Linked DNA regions of Danio rerio. The protein of the gene in region 2 interacts with the protein of the main gene of each other region in a pairwise test. Links are inferred from orthologs where the notes say so. Each region holds a gene or a part of one and is shown on either strand. Other genes may lie near its edges.

The links.
Region 1: the proteins of pomp (region 2) and psmb8a interact in a two-hybrid assay, tested with the Homo sapiens proteins (2 studies listed by BioGRID). The link is inferred for Danio rerio from reciprocal best matches to the Homo sapiens genes POMP and PSMB8.

Annotation. Positions count from the first base shown.
Region 1 is NC_133194.1:8,161,865-8,167,714, reverse strand, and holds the start of psmb8a (proteasome subunit beta type-8), read left to right. Parts: upstream 1-2,260; 5' UTR 2,261-2,546; coding exon 2,547-2,684; intron 2,685-3,037; coding exon 3,038-3,179; intron 3,180-3,326; coding exon 3,327-3,438; intron 3,439-5,850. Other genes in the region: psmb13a (proteasome 20S subunit beta 13a), read left to right, coding at 1-28, 172-230, 472-623, 779-899. UniProt on the Homo sapiens protein: The proteasome is a multicatalytic proteinase complex which is characterized by its ability to cleave peptides with Arg, Phe, Tyr, Leu, and Glu adjacent to the leaving group at neutral or slightly basic pH.
Region 2 is NC_133196.1:43,979,786-43,985,896, forward strand, and holds the start of pomp (proteasome maturation protein), read right to left. Parts: upstream 4,033-6,111; 5' UTR 4,006-4,032; coding exon 4,003-4,005; intron 2,210-4,002; coding exon 2,109-2,209; intron 2,025-2,108; coding exon 1,964-2,024; intron 1,129-1,963; coding exon 1,027-1,128; intron 933-1,026; coding exon 839-932; intron 1-838. UniProt on the Homo sapiens protein: Molecular chaperone essential for the assembly of standard proteasomes and immunoproteasomes. Degraded after completion of proteasome maturation. Mediates the association of 20S preproteasome with the endoplasmic reticulum.

The DNA of each region.
Region 1 (5,850 bases), on a different chromosome or scaffold from region 2:
ATGGACAAGGTGCCATATCTGGCCATGGGTACGCAAGATGCAACTGTTGTCTGATAAACCCTTATTAAACACTCAACACTAGCTATATCTTGAATATGAAAACTTGTTTAGATTGATTTTACAAACAACTGCTCAAGGGAACTCATGCATCTGTGTTTCTCCTGTTTTTAGGATCTGGTGATCTGGCTGCCATGGGCATACTGGAGGACAGATTTAAAGTAAACATGGATGTAAGTTGGATTTATCTACTTGTAAGATTTCTAATATAATCCCATTAGGCTCTGGGCCATGACAAATGAGTGAGGTTGCGTTTGTCACTTTCCTGGTGTTATTGGCAATTCAAATTTGCCAATCAAATTATGCTTGCATTACTCTTCCTACTTTAATTTTATATCATTTTTTACTTAAGAACCTTGAAATATTACCCTTTTTATTTCATGGATGTGCACTAAATGTCATTCTTGTCTTTAGCTGGAGCAGGCGAAGGCTCTGGTAAGTGATGCCATCCAAGCTGGCATCATGTGTGACCTGGGATCTGGAAACAACATTGACCTGTGTGTCATTACAAAAGAGGGGGTGGACTATATCAGACCTCACAAAGAGTCCCCTTATAACTACAAGAGGTAGAAAACCTTGTCATCTTTTTATTTATTTTTCTGGTCACACATTGTACTATACAACTCACATGCATTAACTGCATATATTTAAAAGTTGATGATATTTAGTTTGATGTTTGACGTTGGTAATTTATTGATTCCTTTCTATCATTGTGTTACAGACAAGCCAAGTATAAATATAAATCAGGTACAACACCAATTTTAACTAAAACCGTGAATAAGCTCGAGCTGGACTTGGTGCAGGAGACTGTTCAGATGATGGAAACATCTGCATCAAGTTGATCCGAGTCATACACCATGATGTCTGGAATGAGGAAGAGGGATCCTTTCAACTCAACTGCTGACAAACAGATGATGCCATTATGTTTGTTGTTTGTGTTCTTAATTCCATCACTGGTAGACCTGTGCAGATAATTATCAATAAACCATTACATTTTACAGTATATACACTGCAAAGCCTTTTTATTGCTTAAAAAAACACTCCAGGAACATGGTCTGCATTGTTGATGCTAATGCTTATTTGACATTCCTAAATAATTGAATAAAGCCTAATATTATTTCAGAACAGTAATGAAAAAGTAAAAATACATCTGTAAAATGTATTATGCAAAACTGAGTTGTGTAAATATGTGTAGGTATTTTATAATGCAGTTTTCATAAATTTAACAACACAAGATTATGGCCAAATATCTCCACTGTGGTCTCATCTGTAAAAATATTGTTCTATAATCTTATGGTTTGTTCAAATGACACTTTGCAAACTGAAACTGCTGCCATGTTTTTATTTTTTATAGAAAAGAAATTTCTTTTCACAACCTTTTTAAACATACCATAGTTTTCCCATCTTTTCTAAATGTACTGATCTTGAGCATGATAATTTAAATGTTAACTGAGGTCTTTAGAGTTTGTGGGGAAGTTTTGTCTGGCAGTTCAGTGTGCTTTACACCGTTTGGTCTTGGGATTAACTTGCTGTTAAAAATAAATGTGTTTACTCTTTAAAAAAATATTTTATTACACAAGTAATAACACATTAATATACGATTACTCATTAATTTTTTTTCCGCTTAGTCCCTTTATTAATCTGGGGTCTCCTCAGCAGAATGAACCGCCAACTTATCCAGCATATGTTTTACACAGCGGATGCCCTTCCAGTTGCAACCCAACACTGGGAAAATAATTGATTATGTTATAATAAAATAATAATATTTCTTTTTCACTCGTTTATTTATTTCCTCATATGGAAAACCATGAATTTCAAGAGATTGTCCTATACTTTCACATGACTGCTTACATAGATTCAGGCTTATTAAATAGATTAATTCCTATATGGTACACATTAGGCAAGTGATATCCTAAATCTAGGCCTTTGTAAAAGTACATTTTTGTACTTTTATCTAGCAAAGAAAAAGGCCAGTCAGTGCCTTTAAGACATCTAGTAATAACAAAGTCTGATAGCCAGTATTTTAAGTTAATTTAGGCTTGTTTACACGCATATCTTGTGAAAAATGTTATGCTTCCGCATCTTTTTCACCTGGTTTAACCTACATCAGTTAAATCTACATAGAGACTGAAGACGACGAGAGAGACTCCCTCACTCCCATTGGTCAACCCATCTGCAGAGTTTTCCCTCAGACAATCACTAAGTTATCATGTTGTTTGTAGATACTCTTAAACAACATTTAATAACCTAAAAGACAACATTTATGTACACCTGTTATTCAAAGATATAGATTATGCTTTTAGTTTGTTTTTAAAGATACTTTCTGGTCGTTATCGAAACCAAATTAAGCTTCTCTGAATCTTTCGGTTTCGAAATCGTTGTCTTCCGTGCATGGATCGTATTTCCTTCATGTAAAATAGCCTAATACACTTTGGTTACTTCGCTTTTAGTGTTTTAATTACTGCCATTAGCTGTGCGTAACATACAGGATGGCTCTTTTGGACGTAAGTGGATATAAATATAATTCCGCCTCACAGTTTGGCTTTAAACAAACGCTTCTCGACCGCTCGAATCACTACAGTTTTGGGACCAAATGTCAGGAATTCGCGGTACCTGTTGGAGTTGACGTAAGTGTTTTTATGATAAAAAATCTAATACTTAATCCTAGCAAATATTAGCAAGACCGAAGTGATAAAGATGAAATATGTCGTGTTTGAAGAAACAAGATTAAACAACAATTACTCATAAAAATCAATATTTGATACACAAACTCAATTTTAGTATTGTTTAAGAAGGTGTAAAACAGGTAAGTGTTAATCAAAATGCATTTTTAAAAGTCATGGTTTGCTATGTATCTCCCAGATAATTCTGCTTATTGAAATATAGGGGGCAGAGTCTCAACAGTAGCCTAAATATAATTTAAACTTATAAATAAGCAAGTTTTCCTTAATTAAACATTATTATTCTGTGTTTCCATCAGCCCTCCAAGTTTCTCAAATCGTGTAGTTGTGAAGATGGCGTTTGCATAGATCTGAATCATGGCACCACAACACTGGCATTCAAATTCCGTCATGGAGTCATTGTGGCTGTAGACTCCAGAGCTTCAGCTGGAAAATATATTGGTAAGCAATCAGTTATCAAAACTACAAACACATTCATATGTTATAAAACAGGGTTGTTTTACAGCTCAGCCATGACATTTCATATTAAAGCAGTATTGGTAAACTTCATTAAATCATGTGTCTATGCTTTATCATGATGTGTTTCAGCATCAAAGGAGGCCAATAAAGTGATTGAGATCAACCCTTACCTGCTGGGCACCATGTCGGGCAGCGCTGCAGACTGTCAGTACTGGGAGAGACTCCTGGCTAAAGAGTGCAGGTCTGTCTCAGCATGCTTCAGAAGGGGATGAGCATCTGCTCACAGGATGAAATTACCAGTTTGTGTTTGTGTTCAATAGTGCTAGAAAATGTATTCAGTCTAATGTGGCTGAAGCTTAACAAAACTTTAAAGAGTTAAAGAAATTTCTACTAATCACTTTGATCCAGTTCTGGTAATGCAAACATCTTTAGGTATAAAACATTTTTAATTATATGATATATACTATGGATGCATGATGGCGCAGTGTTGCATGCCTCACAGCAAGGTTGCTGGTTCGAGCCCCGGCTGGGTCAGTTGACATTTCTGTGTGGAGTTTGCATGTTCTCCCCGTGTTGGCGTGGGTTTCCTCTTGGTGGTCCGGTTTCCCCCACAAGGCCAAAGACTTGCAGTATAGGTAAATTGGGTAAGATAAAATTGTCCATGGTGTATGTGTGAATGAGTGTGTATGGATGTTTCCCAGTACTGGGTTGCAGCTGAATAAGCATCCGCTGTGTAAAAAATGTGCTGGAAAAGTTGTCGGTTCATTCCACTGTGGCGACCCCAGATTAATAAAGTGACTTATCTGAAAAGAAAATTAATTAATAATATATACTATATAAGTGGTATGGTGGCTCAGTGGTCAGCACTTACAGCAAAAAGGTTGCTGGTTCGAATCCCGGCTGGGTCTGTTGGCATTTCTGTGTGGAGTTTGCATGTTCTCACCGTGTTCACTTGGATTTCCTCCCGGTGCTTTGGTTTCCCCCACAGTCCAAAGACATGCTCTATAGGTGAATTGGGTAAGCTAAATTGGCCGTGGTGTGTGTGTGTGTGTGTGTGTGTGTGTGTGTGTGTGTGTGTGTGTGTGTGTGTGTGTGTGTGTGTGTGTGTGTGTGAATGTGAAAGTCTATGGGTGGCGTGAATATATTTTATTTCATTTTCTTGTCGGCTTAGTCCCATTATCTCTGGGGAACATCCACACAGACACACACACTCATACACTACAGACAATTTAGCCTACCCAATTCACCTGTACCGTATGTCTTTGGACTGTAGGGGAAACCGGAGCACCCAGAGGAATCTAACGCGAATGCAGAGAGAACATGCAAACTCCACACAGAAATGCCAACTGAGCCGTGGTTCAAACCATCGACCTTCTTGCTGTGAGGCGACAGCACTACCTACTGCGCCACTGCATCGTCATGTGTATATATATATATATATATATTTTTTTTTTTTTCTCTTGTCTTAGTCCCTTTATTAATTAGGGGTCGCCACAGTGGAATGAACCACCAACTTATCCACTTGACCCAGCCAAGGCTCAAACCAGCGACCTTCTATAATATAATCTTAATATATATTATTTATAATTGTCTGATTCTGTGTCTGCTGCCCTGTCTGGTTTTCAATTATTTGGTCAAATTACTGGTTAGTAGTGTATCTGAATCTTATAGTGTACTATTACCCATGAATTATTTTCCAACCCTTTGAAACATATTCTTATAGTTTTCTCTATCTTAAAATAAATGTACAGTGTGCATAAGTATACAGATTTCTTTAAGTATACAGATCTCTTTATTTTTATTTGGTATTGGTTTGTCTTTCAGCTGTTTTATTTCTCACTTAGTCCTGATTAGGACAGTAGGATGGGTGCCAAACCCACCCTGGCTTTCCTGGTCAAGGCTTAATGGGAAGTTTTAAATACATTTTCATCAATTGTTTTTATTGATTAATAATGAAAGTCCATCGGTTTACAAATAACATTGGAATATAAAAATAACATTTATAGTGTCCCACTTTCAGAAACTGGTGCTCTGCATTAAATCATCCAAGTGCGCTCACAGACACACATTTACACACACCTGGAGCAATGGGCAGCCATATTTCTTTGTTGCCTGGTAATCAATTGTGGGTGAAGGGTCTCACTTTAGTAGTGTCTTTGAGGGTGGTGAAAGCACTGGTTATTCATTATGATGAACAAATTAAAGTGTATGCTTGTTTATGTAAGGATAAATCTATACATTGATCAGCATGTGTACACTGACTACAGCATACATGGCAACGTAAACTACAAATGTCAGCTGACATCAAATCCTCATTGGTTTCTGCATATAATGTGACCAGACACAATGTTTGAGGATCATGTCATTCTATCTGTATAGTGTTCTGTCAATATGTTGACCAGTGTTTTGATATGAACTATTAATTGAATAAACACTTAAATTTCACTTTGTTCATTATAAAAGATGATCATTTTGTTTGAGTTTGAATGAGATGACGGGAACTTTGATGGGAATCTCTGTCACTTCCAATTGTAGATACTCTTGGGACAAAGTAATTATTGATCACAGTGCCCCAGCAATTATGCATTTACACAAGGGAGGAAGATCATTATCTTGACTCCTATATGTTTATTATATATTAATATTTTTGTGT
Region 2 (6,111 bases):
CCTTGTTTTTAATTAGATACAAGTTGGTTTTAAAACAGGGTTTCTGCAGGTTACATCAAGTCAAATTTAAGACTTTTTAAGACTACAAAGAATGAAATTTCAGACTTATATTCACCTTACGAGCGGGCGCAGCCATTTGAATCTTTTTGGCATGAGACTTCCGGTCTCATTCACTTCCATTCATTTTTAGACATTAAAAACTGCTCGTTTCGCTGTTTGATGTTGCAAACTGATATTTCCTTGTTATATTATTCTACTTGGTCTGTATAGTCATGCAAACATTTGTTTGTAGAGAAAGTACTTTGACCGTTTTTTATTCCTACTATTTTTTCCCATAGGCGACTGAAACGGAAGTTCTAAGACAATCGCGAAAACAGGCGCACTTCCGCATTTTAAAATAAGGTCAATTGGGTTAGACAGTAAGGATTTTTAATGGCTCATGAGAAAAAAAAATCTAATTAGTTATTTCTTAGCCACTTGTTTTAAATATTGTGTCATTAGAGGGGTAAAGCCCTGCACATTACTGACTGTCTCTCCCTTGTCAGTCCTGTTTTTGAATCTGCCATTATGCTAACACAAAGGTGTTTGTAGCTCCACCCTCTTTTTAAGAGAGCACAATCTCATTTGAATTTAAAGCAACAGTCAACAAAATGGCACAAATAGGATCAATTTCTTTTATAAAATATTATTTGTGTTATATTTTGAGCTGAAACTTCACAGACACACACAGGACATCAGAGACTTATTTTAACGTCTCATAAAAAAGGAGCATAATAGTTCTCCTTTAAGCACTTGACCGGTGATTTTTGTGCTATTATCATGGATGTTTCCTTCATACCATTGAGAATGTCCTCAAAGCCGATGGTGTCATCGCTGCCTCGAAGAGTATCCAGAGCCAGATTTGAGCTTGGGAGGAAGGGCAAACGCTGAATCTGAAAGTACAATGTTTACACGTGATCATCTTCCATAATGATCATGAAGTGTTATTGGCATAATTCACATGTAAACAAGCATCACGAATGATACCTGTTTAGCTGCTCTGTACTCCATCTGTAGTTTGAGGGGCGCATGGAGACCCTGGATGTTCCTTAGCGTGTTGAAATTCATCTTGTCCTGGTTAAGCTGAAACTGGTTTGATAAAAAATAAATAAAAAAAGCAAGGTGGAGTTACACTTTTGTTACACCATGCTCTAACAACTCCCAACAAAATGGACAGGTTTCTAATCTTATGAATGAATATTAAAAGTCATAAACATTATTAAAAGTACAAGCTGAGTAACTGATATTGCTGGTTTAACTAAGTTGTAACATTCATGTTTAAAATGTTTGCTTGTTTTTTTCTTCTCCATGATCTGAAGTAAACTATCTGCTGACTTTTTCAGTATAGCCATAGTAGTTTATGCTAGAGATGGGAAAAACAAAGCTTTTTGGATTTATGGTTGGGGTAGGTGTAATCAATATTACATTAATCAACATTACAAGTGATTCTCATTTCTAGCGAGTCGCGACAACCGCTCGTGAATGCATGTCGATTTAATGCATTTATCTATTAATTTGACCATAAAATGGTGTTTAAAAAATTAAAAACTGCTTTTATTCGAGTCAAAATAAAACAAATAAGACTTTCTCCAGAAGAAAAAACATTATCAGACATACTGTGAACATTTCCCTGCTCTGTTCATCATTTAGGAAGTATTTAAAAAAGGGAAAAAAAATCAAGTGGAGGCTAATAATTCTGACTTCAACAGTATATATAATGTATTTTTGCATATTGTTAAAAATATACCTGTACAACATAAATATTCTGTGCTCCAGGGTAACAAATTTTAAGTTTTAATTAAAAAATATACATTTTTATGTCATATGACCCACATGTATGCCCATTTAAAACCATTTATATGTACAAAAATGAGCTTGTTCTATGTAATTGCACACAGACAGACAAATTCTTCATTCCACTTACATTTTTCTCAGAGAGCTCCAATGGATGACTCGGTAGAAGCTCATTTTTGACACTAGAGAACCTATGAGCAAAGAAAAATGTCAAAAGAAAAATTGTAAAAGAGGCAGAAACAAACACAGCACAGGTTTCTGTAGGCAAAACTCACCCTCTGCGCAGAGAGTCTTGGACCCCATAAGGACCAGCCTGAGGACACAGACCTGTGACAGGAACACTGTCCTTCAGCTGAGAGCGCAGGCCACGAGTGTTCTGAGGAAAACACACACAGCAAGATAATTAAACACCGCTGATGTGAAAACAGACCCGAATGGGTTTTTGACAGTTACAACTCTACATGTTCATGTCTCTAAAAGATTATGTCTTTATTAACACACACATTATGCAAAAGATAATGAAAATAATTACATAACATACAACATTAAAAGCTTCTGTGAACAAGATGTGTTGCACATAAACACTGAGTTATATAAAACTAATTGTTTACAATTTTGCCTATTATTTTTTTATTCCATAGAAAACCATACTAATTAGATGTATTATTAATTGTCCTTCTAGGAGATAAAATCTTTATTTTTGTAGGAAAACTTACAAATTATAAATATGAGAATTTACAAGTATAAGAAAAGGAATAAGATTCATCATTTGAACATGACTGTCTTTATAGTATTGTGACACCAAAAATGCATATTTTCATAACACGACAAAACGATCATCAATAGCATTTACCATTTAAAAAAAAAAAAAAAACTCACAGACATCAACAAAACTATACGAATATGCAGAACAAAATCGAATGAAACACCAAAAGTGCACTTAAATCAATGTTAGACTTAAATGTTAGCAAATATTGTTTATATGGGGAAAAAACTGAAGTTAAGCCGGCTTTATATTTACACATTGCTTCATTTTAAAAACAGAGACAACCACACGACTTTGAATATTCAGTCTGAAACTGCATGGAAGTATGACTTCAAATAGAGGTAAAGTTGGTTTTATATTTGCACATTTGTTAATTTAGCAGTCTATATTGTTTACCATGTTACTTTGAATATTCGATAGGAATTAGTATGCAAGTATGACTACTAAACAACATTAACTCTATCTAATTCACTGTGAACAATGCTGTACTTTGATAATCATTTGCTGCTAATATAATTTCCCTATTAAGAAATGTTAAGCATTGCTTTTTTGAAATTATATTATTAAGGAGAAAGTCTGAATATCCGAATATAAAACCAACTTTACCTCTATTGACTTCAATACTGACTGTGAACAATAGTTCTTAGTCATTGGCAAAGAATATTTTCTGAAGTTGTATTATTAATAAGAAAAACAAACTACCTCAACAAAACATTTGTATAATAAAGGATTCTTCTCTTTAACGTATTTAAACAATGGTTAGATATATGCTAAATCTTAGGTAAAATGCAATACTGTCTGTAAAACTATTCCTGTCAGTGAAAAAATGACTACATAAAAATGTCTCGTTGATATCAGGTTATACTGGATTGCTCAAGTTCTGGAAAATGCAATTATTATCAATATATTAAGTTATAATATTTAATCAGGAAACAATTAATAATAGTTCTGGCCTGATCTGATGTCTTAATCTCCCAAAACCTTTTCCAAAAATCCCCCTAACTTACAGGTAACTTAAATACAAACTGAAAGTAAGTTAAGCGATGACTGGAGTTGAAGCAATGACGCATCACAATTCACTCAGATGCTAACAAAAAAGCCGACAAAATCAATACAAAGCAATAATATGTATCATAAATAAAATGCCAAAGCAAATAATAAGTGCTCATGACATTAATTGCAAACTGATAACTTAATCTGCTCTAGGAAATAAATAAACACGATCTGCCATGCTATGCTAGCAAGCTAACAACCGGCACAGCTGAAATAAGCGCTTTTCAATGCTATATGTACATAGTTTCATAGTATGCTGAAAACAACCTAAATAGCCATCTAAAAAAATGGCCCAATGTAAAAAAGGGAAATAAAATAAAATAAAAGTAAAAACTGAAGTTCAACATTACCATCTTTTATCTAGCTTGTCTTTCCGACTAGAGTTAATGTACTTCCGGTCAGTCCCCGGATATACTTTTGTTATCATGTGACGACGACGTATGAAATTATATTTGAGAGCGGTTTATACCATAAATAGATCTTTGTTAATATTGCCGATCATATATATAGGCCACTGACATAATCAATAAAGAAATACCAGAATGAACATTTCTTATTTGTCTACAATAACACTTCATGGAGCAGTGTGGTATGAGAAAGGGGGTATAGCTCAGTGGTAGAGCATTTGACTGCAGATCAAGAGGTCCCCGGTTCAAATCCGGGTGCCCCCTCAATACTCATTATTTTTCTGTCCTTTTAGTAATTATAATTTGCATGATAGATTTAGGCAAACTCAAATGAGACAGACAACTCTGCGAAGTAAGAGCGATGTCTTTCTCAAATATAATTGTAACAATATATAATAATCGCATCGACAAGTTCTTTATTATTATTTTTTGCAATCTATTTAAAGAGATAGTAACAGGAAACTGACTATTAAATCACACTTAAGTGGTTCCACAACTTGAATATGCATGAATATGCAGAGTTCAAGTTTAAGAAAATGTTTAAATATTTTGAGTTGTAACAAAAGCAAGAAGAACAAAGCTCTTGAAATATTTCATTTTGAGAAAAGTGAATACACAGCGGAATATAACAAGATTTTGAAGAAAAAAAGAAAAAGAAAACTTTCTCATATTCTAGCACTGAAAAATCATACTCAAGTAAAAGCACCATGGCTTACATAAAAATGTAGTGTGAGTAAAAGTATCTGTGGTAAATACTTTTCAAAGTATGAGTAAAAAATAGACCTTTTCAAAAGTACTCAAGAGTAGTCAGTAGTGAGTATTACACTGTTAAAAGCTGATGAATTTACATGGGCTGCGTCTGAAACCGCCTACTACTCAGTAGGTACTGCATTTGAATTTAAACGTACTACTCGGCCGTTAGAAAAGTACGTTCTATACAGTATGAATGTGAAAAGTTTGAATGGAATTCGGACGTACTACATCCGCCAATTTGTCATGGACACGTGACCTACCTGCGTCAGTTGTGTCGCCTCACTTCCATTCATGAATTCTCTCACGGGGCATTATGGGATAGCGCAGCGTGCATTGGGATGCGCACTTCAGAGTCTCGCCGGAAGTAGTAAGTCATCCGGGTACTTCTCGCATACTGATTTTCGAATTCTATGAAATCGGACATACTACACGGCTCGCATACTGATTTTAGCGTACTATATAGTATGGAAGTATGCGGTTTCGGACACAGCCATGTGCATGTGTGTGTAAACGTAACATTCTGTAGTGCATCAAGTAATTGGCCAGCAGGTTCACAACGTCATAAGACGTTAATATTAGGATAAGTTTAGGTTGTGGTGTCAGGTGACCAAAATTCATTGTCTAGCCAGCGTCTAAGGACCAAATTATTTTGTCAAATGATGTTAATATTTGGTTGATTTTAGGTTGCGTTAGAAAGCAAACAAAATCCAATGCAGAGCCAACATCTTAAACCAATGTCATTTTGAGGTCAAATACTCCCTCTTTGGCCCAAGGTATTCGGCAGGCCAAAAAAGGCCGGCCGCAGGCCCCAAGAAAGCCCCGATTTGGCCCGATTAGGCCCCGGAAGTGACAGTGGATACGCGACTGGCTTTGGCTCGCGCTGGCTCACTTGCTTTAAGTGCGATAGTGAAAACGCGGCTATTTATCCGTCAGGTACGAGCAACCAAAACTCAACATCTGATAGACGTCATAGTGGTAGCATTCACACAACGTCAGGCTGTAGCGTCATTAGATCTGGTTGCTTTTAGGTTGGACATTGGACATTCTGACGTTCTGACGTCAATCCAATTTTCATTTCCAAATAAAATGCATTGTCCCTACACCGCTGGGGTACAACGTCAATCTTGTACAACGTCAAGTCATGTTGATGTCTTGTGCCTGCTCTGTGGGTGTTTAGGGCCACTTTGGTCTTCACACGGTAAACATCCATCATCTTCTCATCAGTGACATGCATCTAAACAGTCTCTGGGTCATTGCATGTAAAGGTTTTGGACATCTTGGACACTTTTATTACAGTTT